Ovis aries: one gene and its partner. The protein of the gene in region 1 purifies or fractionates together with the protein of each later gene. This does not show direct contact. Links are inferred from orthologs where the notes say so. Each region holds a gene or a part of one and is shown on either strand. Other genes may lie near its edges.

Region 1 (7,147 bases):
CACCTTCAGTTTGTAAAACGTGGCACCTCACGTAAGGAAGCATACATTATGTAGTCTTTTGTGAAAGCCTTATTGCATTTAGTATAACGTCTTCAAGGAGTTCATCCACATTGAAGCTTGTGTCAAATGAGATTTCTTTTTCACATGTGAGAGCCTGGCCCTTTTGGCTGCTTTTGGAAACCCCGAGATTTGCTTTCCCCGGCCATGTCCCCCTGGGACAGTTGGCGGAGCTGGAAGCTGGAAGCAGCTCTGCTCCCTGGATTGGACGCCCTCCAGCCAGTCTCCGCCCCTGCTGTGCCCGCCTGTCACCTTTGCCCGTTGCTGCAGTCAGTCACCTGCCTGCGTCCTGGAGACATCTCCAGTTATTTCTTTCTGCTTTCTGTCCCTGTCAGGCAGGTTGGACTTCAGACCACAAGTCTCCACCCACATGTTTATTTGAACAGATTAGGATAAAAATTGAGTCTCCCTTCTTTAAGTGAGTAATTCCTGCATTCCTGCTCTGTGCTAGGAGGTCTGCTGGGCTCCAGGTGACCCCATGGTCAGCCAGTCACATGTCCCTAAAGGAACACGATCACTCCAGGCCTCGCAGTAACAAGAGTCTCGAGCCCCAGGTTCCCCAGTATCGTGAGATCCTGGTGTGGTTGCCTGTCCACACAGCTCTGCCCTTCAGCCCTTTGGAGGTTCTGGAGCCAGCTGGCCCGGTTTAGATCCTAGCTTGTCCCTTACATCTCGGGCAAGTTACTTAGCCTGGCTGTGCCTCAGTTTCCTGTTAGTTTAGAATGGAGACAGTAACAGGACCTGCTTCATAGGACTCAGGTGAGATAGAACCAGCACCGCTGGAGCTGTGGCCCTGCTGTGAACATGTAGTAAATAGACACTGCCGTCAACATGAGTCATTATTACTGCAGTTGGAGATGCCAGGGACAGCTGTGGCCCTCTCAGAAGGTGACATGTATAGCTTGGGGGTTTGTACACCCCACTGAAGCACCTTCAAGGACCTGTGCGTGAGGTTCTCTGTTGTGATTCTTCAGGGAGGAGACATAGGGTGCACGCGGGCCTCTGGTCATCAGGGAAAGCCTGTCGGAGGAGCTGAGTCCCTGAAGGGGTGCAGCCGGGAGCTCGGGGGGGCTGGGGGGGAGCTGTGCACTGACCTGTTCTGCCCCACAGCCGCCCTTGGAGTCGCTGGCCACGGTGGAGGAGACGGTGGTGCGGGATAAGGCAGTGGAGTCCCTGCGGGCCATCTCGCACGAGCACTCCCCCTCCGACCTCGAGGCCCACTTTGTGCCCCTGGTGAAGCGGCTGGCGGGCGGCGACTGGTTCACCTCCCGCACCTCAGCCTGCGGCCTCTTCTCCGTCTGCTACCCCCGCGTGTCCAGTGCCGTCAAGGCGGAGCTTCGACAGTGAGTCCCCCGGCTGCTGGGCCCTGGCGAGACCCCACCTCCCGCTTCTGTTTGGTCCCCTTCTCTCAAGCCTCAGGCTCTGTTAGGCCCATCCAGCTCCCAGAAGCCCCTGAGCTCTGCCAGCCCTCAGAGAGCTGGTGTGTGGATGCGGCAGGGTGTCAGTCCAGGCACTGCCTCCTGCTCATTTAGGAAATGGAGACAATGATGGTTCTTCCTCCCATTGGTTATTTAAGTGAATTACTGTGTATAAAACGCTTAGGAAAGACTGGTACATGGCAGGTGCCCAGCCAGTGACGTGCGGTGCAGTCGTAGGCCTGTCTCGGTGTGGCAGATGGGAGGCTGCCGCCTCCACCACCTCCCTCCCTCTTGGCTGAACCCCAGGAAATTGCTTGCACTTGAGATTTGGCCTGTGGAAGAACCAGTATTTTTAATTGGATTAAAATCTCCCATTAATGTGTGTTTCCTCCTCTCCTGGGGTCCTGTCCTTCCTCCATTGTCCTGAACCGTGGGCAGCACGCCCAGCCCCTGAGCCATCACTCCGGCCAGGACAGCAGCATGCAGCTGCTCGCAGGCGCTTGGAGGGCTGTTCTGGGCCCCTTGCGTTTCTTTAACTGGAAGCAGTCGGTGCTGGAAAGGAAACGCTCTGAGAAGCTTCAGTGCAGCCTCTTAGCTAAGCAGTTTTATGTGGTCACAGTTATAGATAGAATCAGCAGCTGCGGCTTGCTGTAGACCTGCGCACAGAGAGATGGCTGGGTGTCTCTCACACGGCGTCTTGTTTAAACCTCAGCGGCCCAGTGGGGTGGGTTCTGTTATCAGTTCCTTCGTGTAGGTCTGGGGAGACTCAGAGGCTCTCACTTGAATCAGGATCACTTGGGCAAAGCCAGGAGCTGCAGGGCTGCCTGGGATTCCAGGGTTTCCTCCTCCTGAGCCCCCTCTACCTGCCCAGGTACTTCCGGAACCTGTGCTCAGATGACACCCCCATGGTGCGGCGGGCCGCAGCCTCTAAGCTGGGGGAGTTCGCCAAGGTGCTGGAGCTGGACAACGTCAAGAGCGAGATCATCCCCATGTTCTCCAACCTGGCCTCTGACGAGCAGGTGGGGCCGCCTGCCCACCCCTCTCCTGCTTCTCCCCGCGGCGGACCCCGAGTCTGGGGAGTTGGCCCGGAGCTGATGGGGCTTCTGCTCCCCCTCCTTGTTCCCACCCTCTCCCCAGGACTCGGTGCGGCTGCTAGCGGTGGAGGCGTGCGTGAACATCGCCCAGCTCCTGCCCCAGGAGGACCTGGAGGCCCTGGTGATGCCCACCCTGCGCCAGGCTGCTGAGGACAAGTCCTGGCGCGTCCGTTACATGGTGGCCGACAAGTTCACGGAGGTGCGTGCAGGGGCTGTAGACAGCGTCTCACGGACGGGAAGATGGAGGCCTCAGGAAGGAGCGGGGCCACGTGGAGCCGGGGTTTAGTGAAGCCCAGTGGGTCATCCAGGCATCAAAGCAGGAAGCTCTCTTGTCATTTGGTTAGCTCACCTGACAACTCTGGTTGGTTGATAGCGGCAGCTTGAAGTGCTTCCTTGAGATTTCTGAGGCCAACTTAAGGTTCTGTGGGGGAACCACAGGAGCAGAGAAGGGTAGCATGTGTGTGTTCCCGACCTACGAACCTTATCTCCTTTCCCGGAGGCGTCTTTGCTCGGCCATAGGCGGCTTCCTTCTCCCTGCATGTTACCTGTGGGTTGTGTTCTCATCTCCTCTTCTTATAAGCGCTTTAGATGTTTTGGCTTAGAGCTCACCTTAATGACCGTATTTTAACCTGTTAGCTCTTTAAAGACCCTGTGGCCAAGTACAGTCACATTCTGAGGTACTGGAGTGGGGAGTTAGGGCGTCAGTGTATGAATTTCAGGGGATACAGTCGAGCCGCAAAACATGGCCCAAATGTTTGAATGGTCAGAGTGATGCTGTCAAGCAGGCAGAACAGATGCCGCATCTCTGAGGACAGTGCTTTTTCCATGGAGTCTCAATGGCTCATCGCACAGACATGTTTGTCGAGCTCCAGCTCGTGGCTGGGTGTTGGGGATCCAGTGAATTCAGCACATTCCTGGGCTTCAAGGAACAGGCAGCCTGAAGGGGGAAGGTCAGCTGAGACAGGGAATGCAGTGAGACAGCGCGACAGGCGCAGGGCTGGCCGGTGGGCGTGGAAGTGCCGAGATGAGGTGCTGCAGCAGCTTCTGGAGGACGAGAGAGGGCCGGGGCAGGAGCTGTCCCGTGTGTGCAGCGGGCCTGGGTGGTGAGCAGAGCACAGGCAAGAACGTCGGGCAGTGGCTCTCAGGGGAGAGGACGCTGGAGAGGCGGGCAGCAGGCTCCTCTCCTCGCAGTCAGGAACCACCCTGTTCCCCCAGGCCCTCACGAAGCAGCTTCACGGCAGAACCTGTGCATTCTCCTTGCCTGGCTTCCTGAGGGGGGGACCCTAACCTGTACTGTTTTATTTTAATTACAAAAGTAATATCGGTTCTGGTAAATAGTCATAACACAGAAATAATACAAATGAGAAAGTGGCAGTGATCATACATCGTTAGTCTTTTGGCATCAGGGACAGAAAACCCAACCCGAGTAACCTGAACAGTAAGGCAGTCTGTTGTTACTTTTAATGCAGACAGCGGCACTTTGCAGTAGGTACCCTCGGGGTTGAGGAAGCTGAGGCTCAGAGAGGTGCAGGCACTCATCCAGGGTCACACAGATGATAAGCAAGAGTAAGAACTTGAGCCAGGGAGTTGGACTCCAGGGCCACGCTTGTGACCACTGCCCTGCCCAGCCCCTCAGCACCATACACATGTCATCACTGCACAACAGGGAAACCGAGGCTCAGAGAGGCTCTGAGACCTGGCTGAGGTCGCCCCTGCGGCACCCGCGTTACATCTCAGCGGTGACGCCAAGGGCTGCTTTTGCCTCAGTCCTGGTGCCTGTAACTTTGATTTTGTTCTCATTCACCAAAGGTGCCCGGCAAGCCCTCTCACTCCCCCTGCCCTTCCTTCACTTCCTGCAGCTCCAGAAAGCGGTGGGGCCTGAGATCACCAAGACGGACCTGGTCCCTGCCTTCCAGAACCTGATGAAAGACTGTGAGGCCGAGGTGAGGGCCGCCGCCTCCCACAAGGTCAAAGGTTGGTGCTGGTGACCAGAACACAGCAAGCGGGCGTGTGGGTGGTGGGCTGGGTGTCCGAGGGACTGCAGGCAGAACGGGCACCTCGGGTCTCACCTCCCGTCACCTCCCTCTCGCTGCCCACAGAATTCTGTGAAAATCTCTCCGCCGACTGTCGGGAGAATGTGATCATGACCCAGATCTTGCCCTGCATCAAGGTAACAGGGAGTTTGGTGGGAGGAGTAGAGCATGCCTGAACCTTCTGGAAGGAAGGTGGAGATAGGGCGTGAGGGGCAGCCCGATGCAGACTGAGTTCCCAGCCTCCTCGGACCAGGCAGTGTTGGGTTTAGAGCAGTCAGGAAGCCTGAGGGCAGGCGGAATCTGAGGCTCGGGGCTGAGCGTGGTGGTGGGGTGCTTCCTCCTCAGAGCTCACAGCGTCTCCTCATCCACAGAGCTTCGAGTTTGGGGCAGAGGCTCCCGGGGAGGGGCAGGGGTCATTGAACTCCAGGCACGCCGAATGTGTAAGGCAGGCGCTCCAGTTCCCCTCGTGCACTCAGCCTGGATCGAGAGGACAAAAGCAGGCAGTGTCTCAGGGTTCGTAGGACTTGAGTTTCCGCAGCCACTGACCCTGTGGCTCCCATCCTCCTTCTACCTCCCAGGAGCTGGTGTCTGACGCCAACCAGCACGTCAAGTCGGCGCTGGCCTCCGTCATCATGGGCCTGTCCCCGATCCTGGGCAAAGACAGCACCATCGAGCACCTCCTGCCCCTCTTCCTGGCCCAGCTGAAGGACGAGGTGCGGGCGCTGTGGGGCTCTGCGCGCTGACTGTGGTGGGCGGGGAAGCTGCTCCCCAGGGTCGCCAGCACCTGTGGCAAACGCCCAGGTTGCCAGGGAGTTGAGTGTCTGTGGGCCTGATGGGCTGCACGTTAGCTCATTCGCTTGTTTGGCGTTTGTTTCATGTGCCTTTATTCTGTACGAGTCTTTTTCCTGGGCATTAGGGATACTGAGAAAAAAAGGAACAAGATCCTTTTGATCCTCCAGGACCTGCAGAGACTGGCAGTGGAGAGGGACAGATGGGCGGTCCCTTGACTCCCTGATCATACAGGTGCTGTGACAGGTTCATGTCTATCCAAGTTCAGGCTAAGGTGCTTACTAGAGACCCTGAAGTGCTGTGGATTAAATAAGGTGGAGAATGGTTTCTCTCACAGGAATCCAGGGGCAGAGGGGACCTACACTGAGGGCGTTGTTCTGGCTGACCCCAGCACCCTGTGGGTCTGAGGTGGCTGCCCTGATTTGTTCCGTCTCAGCTGGCGTGAAGGGAGAGGGCACCGACCAGCAGCAGGCCAGTCCTCTCAGTCAAACCCCAGAGAGGGTGCCCATCCTGTCTGCTGATGGCTGACCTTAGGTTACAGGTCTCTTGATGCCACATGGCCCAAGGGCCTCACCATAAGTCACAATGTTAGCATGATCTTTTTGACATGGCCCAGGGCCCTTTTTTATTTCAGATACTGAGAGATCATCTCCCAGAAGCTGGTGGGGGGCCAGTCCTCTGTTTGGAATGTGCCAAGTTTGAACAGCCTAGTGCGGTCCAGTTAATAACCCTTTACTGCACACTTGATTATTTGGTTCATTGATTGATTTCACCGCATGCCTATTCACCCCACAGCTCCCAGAGGGAGATGCAGGAAAAACTAGTGTCTGCCCTCCAGGAATATATGATGTTGGACAAGGAATTAATTATATTTGTGTGCCATTTCTTAGAAGTTGTTTCAGAGATTTTTGGAAGCAGATGGGGATATAGGTTCCCCTCTGTGCTAAGATAGAGCGTTTTGATAAGCCTGTCTTAGGTTGAAATGGCGTAGAGTGAAGCAGCTGTTTCTTCCTTTGCTAAAGCACAAATCGTCTTTGGGTTTCTTTTAGTGAAAGCAGGAACCCATGGAAGTCTCATAGTGGTGTGAAATTAACTGGATAAACGGGGGCTACCTGTGTACATGCGCATGTGTGTTTGTGTGTGTGTTAGTCACCCAGTCGTGTTCGACTTTGCAACCCCAGGGGTAAGCCCACCAGTCTCCTTTGTCCATGGAATTCTCCAGGCAGGAATACTGGAGTGGGTACCGTTCCCTTCTCCAGGGGATCTTCCCAACCCAGGGATCAAACCTGGGTCTCCTGCATTGCAGGCGGATTCTTTACTGTTGGAGCCACCAGGGAAGCCCATACATGCATGTAGTGTAAGTCCGAGCCTTGCCCTGGGCTCTGTGTGCAGTGCACCTTCTCAGAACGCTCCTGTCCTCTCCTCAGTGCCCGGAGGTGCGGCTGAACATCATCTCTAACCTGGACTGCGTGAACGAGGTGATCGGCATCCGGCAGCTGTCGCAGTCCCTGCTCCCTGCCATCGTGGAGCTGGCGGAGGATGCCAAGTGGCGGGTGCGGCTGGCCATCATCGAGTATATGCCTCTGCTGGCGGGACAGCTGGTGAGAGTGCAGGCCTGGGCCAGGCCTGCTGCCCGGGGAGGTGGGTGGTGCAGCCAGGCCTGGGGGCCATGCCGGGGCCCTGGGGGCCGTGAGGGCCCAGCGGAAGGTGTGAGGGCTGTCGTGGGAGTCAAGGGGAGGAAAAGGAAGAGAGCCCC
Region 2 (7,147 bases), on another chromosome or scaffold:
AGTCACCCGAGTGATCTGTGTTTGGAAATGCTCCCCAAGGAGATGGAGCGCCTGTTGGAATGTCCAGGCCTGGGGGGAGTGGTCAGTGGGGACCAGTCCCTGCTGAATAGGTAGCACTCCTCACGGGAGGGGTGGAGGTGGGGAGAGGACGGGCCAGGCCCAGGGAGGCAGTTCCGACGTAGCTCTACCGCCAGTCAGCTGGGGTGGGGGAGAATTTGCTGACACTGCCTCGTGCTTTCTTCCCACTTGTAGAATGAGGGGGTCTGTCTGGAGATCCCTTCTGAGCTGTATTGTTCGGTGACCCAAAGTCATGGCATAGCACTATCTAACTTGGCTACTCGCCCTTTTACGAAGGTTTATTTTCCCACGACACTGTTTCAGCTAAGCGTCTTCCTCTCTCTAGATAGGACACCCCAGACGGTGTATAGAGGGAGGAGGGCACCAGGCCACCCAGCAAAAGGGCCTCTGGGGGAAGAGAAGACTGGCAATGTGGCCCGGCCTCTGGCCATGGGTTTTTGTGCCAAAGTAACCGGTGTGTAGGACAGGACGCAGACAGGCTGGTTTTGGCCTTACACATGCTGTCATTTGGTGTGGTCTGATTGGCTAGTTTTGGCCCATTTTTACTATATATTGACAGTTATAAAATCACACCAGAACAAACAGAAAATTGGTACCAGCTACTAGAGCTGTGACACCCCTTCCTGCCAGGCAGTCTTCAACAGCAAGACATACTCCTTCTGGTTCTTGATTACTATCTATACTTCATGTCGCACAGCACCTAGCACTCGTAGGGGACTTTCTCACCTGACTCTGAGAAGTGAGCTTCTGTTTGCTTCCGAAAGCAAACACCCTGACCTTTCCTAATGCAGAACATGCAGCTGTAACCCTGCAGCAACTTCCTCAACAGGTGGTACCAGAGCCAGACACCTGCCTCGGGGCCACCTACCTTCTGTCCTGGTGGAATTACCTACAGGGAGGAGCCTGCGCTGACAGGACAACTGTGGCCTACAACAGGACCCCGCTCCTCCCCCTCGTTCCTGTCCCGGCTGCCACTCATCTGACCTCTCGGTTTGGACTGTGAGGTGCATGGGAGGGATATGTTTTTTTGCTTTTGATCTTATCTTACAATTTTAAACAAAATACAAAGGACAAGAGGGTGAGGTGGGGTAGGGGAGGTAGACAGGCAGCTGGAAAACTATGGGATGAGGAAAAGCAGTACTATCCACGGTGACTGTGAGATTTGTGGACATGGGTTGCTATGGCAACAGAGACTGCGGAAGAGCCCCCAGGTCAGAAGAGCATCCCCGGTTCTGTCCTACGTCTGGAGCACCATCCAGAAAGGAGCAGGTGGGGGTGGGGCAAGACACACAGGTGGGACACTCTTGGTTTTCAGTCCTCCTTTCCTCACTGCCTGACAAGCAGCCACACAGCCTCAAGAATCAGTCTCAGTCGCTTCACTTCGTTTCTAGTTAAGTACCCCCCTGATCTCACATGCCCCATATCCCTATCATATTCCCTAGGGGCCTTGGACCTAGTTGGGAACCGTCACACAAACACATAGCAAAGGAGGAGTGGGAAGGTGAAGGGGACCCCTGCTCACCTCGAGGCTGAAGCAGCTCTGGGCTCCAGGCCGGCAGCTCCCGGCATCCCCATCGGCTCGGCGGTGCAGCTCCCGTGCGGTGCGGAGATGGAGGTGACCCCGCTCCTCCCCTCGCTCCTGCCCCGGCTGCCACTCCATCTGATCTCTCAGTTTGGACTGTGAGGTGCATGGGAGGGATTTGGTTTTTTTGCTTTTGTTCTTGTCTCACAATTTTAAACAAAATACAAAGGACAAGAGGGTGAGGTGGGGTGGGGAAGGTAGACAGACAGCTGGAAATCTATGGGATGAGGAAAAGCATGACCAGAGAAACCAACGCAAACACAGCGGCATCAGAGAGAGGAGAGAACAGAGCCAGGAGGAGGAGCAGCAAAACGGCAGGCTGAGAGATCTGAAAGGCAAACAGAGAGACGGGAGAATGCAACCCGCTGGTCACGAGGCGCATGCGATGGGGACGCGGGAGTGAGACTCGCCCGCAGTCAGGCATCGGGCATCGCACGCCACAGTCCAGGGCGGTGCACGGAGAGCCGTCCGGGCCACACCACTCGCCGCCCTCGGCTCCAGGGCGCTGTCAAAGCCATCCTTCTCTCCACCATGCTCCTTGCCTGCCCCACCTGTGTCGCAGAGGGAGCCGGTGGGCTGAACTGTCCCTGGGGCAGTGAACCCAGGCACGAATGCACCCGCTCCCGGGGAGTCTGCTAATTATCCTGACTTCGAAGAGCGCTTGCACTGCGCTTCAAACTTCTCTTTGCTTCTTCATCGAGATGGCTGGTCATTGAGGACGCCCAAAAAAGGAGAAGGGACAGAATGCGTCCATCCTTGGTGCTGCCAGTGGGTTAGCCTCGTGTCAAGAGGTAGGACCTCTTAGCCAAGAGCAGTGACGTGGTTAAAAATAAAAGGGAAAGGGGGAAAGAAACAAGGAAACAAAAGAGAGCTAAACCAAACCAAACCAAAAAAAAAAAAAAAAAAAAGAGAAACCCAACCAACAGAAAGGCTTTGGTTGAAACTTGAGGCTTTAGTACAATGCAGGTTTGCAATCATAACCAAGCAGCCGTGAGCAAGGTGAGTTGGAGCGCGGCAAGGCCAGCGAGAAGGAGGAGGAGCAGGACGGAGCAGGGAGGCAGAGCCAGGAGCCCCCTTACCTGCAGGTCCGGGCCCAGCTCCTTGCCCAGGTTCCCCACTGGGGAGTCCCGGGATACGGAGGTCACAGAGGACAGGAAGCTGGATGACTCGGTGAGCTGGGGCAGCGGGGACAGGCCCTCCCCCAGCCGCTCCACCTGCTCCAGAAAGGCCTGGAGCTCTTTCCTGAAGGCCTTCATCCTGGCGTTGAGGGTCCCCAGCAGCTGGGGCTCCTCCCTGGTGTCCTGGCCGCAGGCCCCGGGCGAGGCCTCTCCGCCCGGGAGCGCAGCCTCGGTGTCCGTGATGATGCGCTCCACCGTGCGCTCCAGCCGCTCTGCCTCGTGCCTGATGCTCGCCAGGCGCTCCGAGTCCTCCCGCGCGCGCAGCAGCTCCGCCGGGCACTCGCCGGCCTCCGACGGCCTCCCACTGCCGAAGCCGGACGTCTTCTCGAAGGTCTCCTCCGAGTCACTCTCGCCGCCAATGGGGCCCTCCCGGCGGGGCTGCACGCGGCCGTCCTCGCCGTCGTCGCTCCTCCGGCCCGTGTCGCTGTCAGCATCGCTGTCCCGCGGGCTAGGGGCACGCGGGCCCGGCTGCAGCGTTAGCACCTCCCCGCTCAGCTCGCTTATCGGCAGCCGCACCGCCTGGAGCTCGTCCTGCAGGGGTGCCCCGCCCCCAGCCAGCCAGCCTGGCTCCGGCCGCGGCTCGAACTTGAACTTGCTCAGCTCGTGGGTCAGCTGCCGGTTGTGGTCCTCGATCTCGGAGATGGACCGCCGCAGCAGCTCCGCCTCCTCCTCCACAAACTGCAGGTGCCGGCGCAGCTCGGCCGAGGACTCCAGGGAGTCCCCCCCAAAGGGCGAGGTCGGCCCACCGGTTAGGGGTTCCCGGCCGCGCAGGTCTTCCATCTCAGCCTTGAGGCCCCGATTCTCCACCTCCAGCTCCACGATTTTCCGGCCCAAGATGCTGGCCTCTTCCTCCACCAGCCTCAGCCGCAGCTTCAGCTCGGCCTCGCGGGTGCTGGGCGGCCCGCCGGCCTCGCCCGTGGGCAGGGGGCTGTCGGCGTCCCCATAGAGGGCCCTGTACCTCTGCAGCTCCTGCTCCAGCCGGTCCTTCTCGCGCCCCAGCGTGGCCATCTTCCTGAGCATCAGCGAGCCTTCCTCCTTGGCAAACTGGAGCTGGCACCTCAGATCCGCGCTGTCATCCTGCCCGCAGAGAGAGCCCAGACCAGGGTTATTTGAAAATACCACACCTGCCTGTTTTTGACAATTTTCCCCGCACCTCACCCCTCACACACCCCACACACGAAGCACCACTCTTCCCGTCAGTGCATGGGGTCCACCGAGAGGGGCCATGACAGAGACGGGGCGGGCCTGGTCCTTCACGGGGGCACCAAGGCCTGCTCCGTCACAGGAACAAAGGACAGCAAACAAGTAGTTTGGGCAAAGGTGCACATGAAAACCATCACCCAGGAGATGGAGAGGAGTGAGGAAATGAAGCCCAGCACCGCCAGCAATGTGGCGACTCACCCCGCCTCTCTGGGTCCATCCTGACCTGTGAGACACCCCAGGCCCCTAGCTTAGCCTGGGGCAGATGGACAGGCCTTTGTGCCAACTTCTACCTGTTGCCACTTACCTCCTCCCTCAACAGAGGGGCTGCCAGCACTTCATAGGTACTAATGGGATGGGGAGGCCAGGTGACCCCAAATCAGCCTGGCTTTCCACAAATCTGCTGAGAACCTAAGACAAGGCAACCCCTCCCCCCATCGTCCTCCCCCAACTCATCCCAGGGATGACATGAAGATGACTCAAGATGATGGGCATGAGGGCCTCTGGATGCTAAGCTGCAGAGTAAGCACCCAGCTCTGGCGGTTAGTATGAGATGGATACTGTAAACTGAAGGCCCGAGTGACTCATACCCTCTCTCCATGCAAACTCGACTTCAGCACCTTTTAGTGGCTATGACAGCAGGAAATTAATCCCAGAAACCCAAGGCAGGGTGTTAAGTGGTTTGAAATCTAAAAAGTAGGGCTCCTCGGGTAGCCAGAGGACTCTGGAGGGTCACGGGAGCAGGCTGTCTGCTAAAACCCTGCACTGCTCAACTGAGGTCCAGAAGGCCCTTTCAGGACCAACTAGAGTGACCCTTGCCTTCCCCATGGGGTCTCCACACCCTGGAACTGCATCAATTCTGGATCTGGGCTCACGCTACGGCTTCATAAATGACAACTGGGCGGCTGGCAACAGTGACCAGTGTCATGACTCGTTCCTCTGTGATTGGCTATCAAGTTCCAAAAGGTTGTCCTGGGAACCAAGACTTGGACAAAGTCTCCCTCCTTATTTGGTGGTCACATCCCATCACCAGGGGAGGAAGAGTCATCAAACCAGCAAGTCAACCCTGGGGTTGGGGGGGAGCTCTTCCAGCTGGTCACTTGTGCAGACGGGTCAGCAAGAGAACATGGTTCATTCTCCACTGGTCCTGCTGCACACTCACCACTGGGCAGAAAGACCTCCCTGGGAGCCCCTACCTTGCCTCCTCCCACCACTAGACCTGAAGCCAACTTTCTGCTTTGTCTGAAACTCAATGAATTTGGGGGAAAGGAGCAAGTAACTTTTTTTCTTCCTCTCTGCATATCAGGAAAGTGATATATAAATGTCACTGGGAGGAGGGCACAGTCTTCATGATCTAGAACTTATCACATCAAGGGTCTGGTTTGGTTTTGGTTAGGCTGAACACCAAAGAATTGATGCTTTCGAAGTATGGTGCTGGAGAAGACTCTCGAGAGTCTCTTGGACTGCAGGGAGATCAAACCAATCAATCCTAAAGGAAATCAACTTTGAATATTCATTGGAAGGACTGATGCTGAAGCTGAAACTCCAATATTTTGGCTACCTAATGCGAAGGGCTGACTCATTGGAAAAGACTCTGATGCTGGGAAAGATTGAAGGCAGGAGGGAAAGGGGACCACAGAGGATGAGATGGTTGGATGGCATCACTGACTTAATGGATATGAGTTTGAGCAAATTCCAGGAGATGGAAAAGGACAGGGAAGCCTGGTGTGCTGCAATCCATGGGGTCGCAAAGAGTCAGACACAACTTAGCAACTGAACAAAGGTGGACATAACGAGGGGTTCTGTGACAACCAGAAATAAAGCCGACAGCCCCACGCAATGGAGCAAGATAGGTTACCATCACTGCTGCGGTAATGATGCACATTTTACAGGGCCTACACAGAATACATGGGCCATAAAACACAGACTGAATTTAATCCTAACTTAACACTAAGGGGAAAAGCCTACTTATTTGTTATTCATTCATTCCTTCAGGAACTACTGAATACCTACTGGGTACCAGAAATTGGCATGTTAAACAACCCAGGTTCTTAGAACTTTTGAAAGCAGATCAAAAGCATCTTTTTAAATTTTTGGATATAGATTTATAAGAAATCTATGTGTCCAAATATAGAGAGATCATTGTTGTCATAAGAAGGGGTTTGAATAAACTAAAACAGGTGTCAGTGGAGATAGAGTGTCAGTACTTTGTAAATGAATCACTTCAGGGGTAACAAGTCCAGGAGAGAAAGATGTTTAGCCCCATCATGAACTTGGTAGCTAGTGTCTGTCCTGAGTCTAGAATCACCTACACCATCCTGTCTCCAACTTAAGCACAGAATTTCACTTCAGTGCTGGGGACAGCCGTGGAGACAGTGGAGGGGAATGTCACCTGTTCAAGGGGAATTCCACCTTCAGTCCGGCACTCAAGCCTGGGCAGAGGCCCAGGTGGGATCAGTGTCCTGATGCACCCTCCCTGGAGACTCACGACTGGTGAGCGGCCGAGGGCAGAGCCCCCTGCACAGTTTAGGACGCTTCTGTCTCAAACCAGGGTCAGGGCGTCTCAGGCTGTCTCTCCTGAGGGTTGTTCCCCAAAAGTTGAGCTGAGCTGTTGGAGGGTGCACATGGAGTCTGGTGTTCCCCAGGGCTCTGTGCTCAGATAGAAGCACGTATCTGCACCCCTCTACATGGTAGAAAACCCCAGCAAGCCCTCAAATCACCTTGACTTCTGGGAACCTTACACCATCCCCCCATCCCCTGCCATTCCCCACAAGTCTGATTCTAAATCAGAACCATCCTCCTCCTCTGTCTCCTCGAACTTAAACCCAGGCCGGGTAAAAAAGCAGGATTCCACGACATACCCTAGTGAGCGTCCGATTCATAGATTACCTGAGGATTGACCAAATATCCAAAAAGGCTCCAGCTTCTTAAGGAAAGAAACTACCCCCACACCAGGAATTCTAACATACGATGAAAGCATGCTTCGTTTCTATGCAATACCCATGCACAGCCAGCCCTGCCACCAGGACTAACGCAGGTTTTGATTTAAAAAAAAAAAAAAAAAAAGGCCGTCTTTGAAACCGAGGGAGTGTGTGGTCAACTTCACTGC

What was found.
Region 2: the proteins of PPP2R1A (region 1) and MTCL1 purify together in Homo sapiens (co-immunoprecipitation; 3 studies listed by BioGRID and IntAct, with this or other methods). This does not show direct contact. The link is inferred for Ovis aries from reciprocal best matches to the Homo sapiens genes PPP2R1A and MTCL1.

The regions. Positions count from the first base shown.
Region 1 is NC_056067.1:58,166,936-58,174,082, forward strand, and holds part of PPP2R1A (serine/threonine-protein phosphatase 2A 65 kDa regulatory subunit A alpha isoform), read left to right. Parts: intron 1-1,167; coding exon 1,168-1,400; intron 1,401-2,346; coding exon 2,347-2,494; intron 2,495-2,612; coding exon 2,613-2,768; intron 2,769-4,428; coding exon 4,429-4,543; intron 4,544-4,668; coding exon 4,669-4,739; intron 4,740-5,180; coding exon 5,181-5,315; intron 5,316-6,818; coding exon 6,819-6,992; intron 6,993-7,147. UniProt on the Homo sapiens protein: The PR65 subunit of protein phosphatase 2A serves as a scaffolding molecule to coordinate the assembly of the catalytic subunit and a variable regulatory B subunit.
Region 2 is NC_056076.1:41,698,816-41,705,962, reverse strand, and holds part of MTCL1 (microtubule cross-linking factor 1), read right to left. Parts: intron 3,916-7,147; coding exon 2,740-3,915; intron 1,757-2,739; coding exon 1,601-1,756; intron 1-1,600. UniProt on the Homo sapiens protein: Microtubule-associated factor involved in the late phase of epithelial polarization and microtubule dynamics regulation.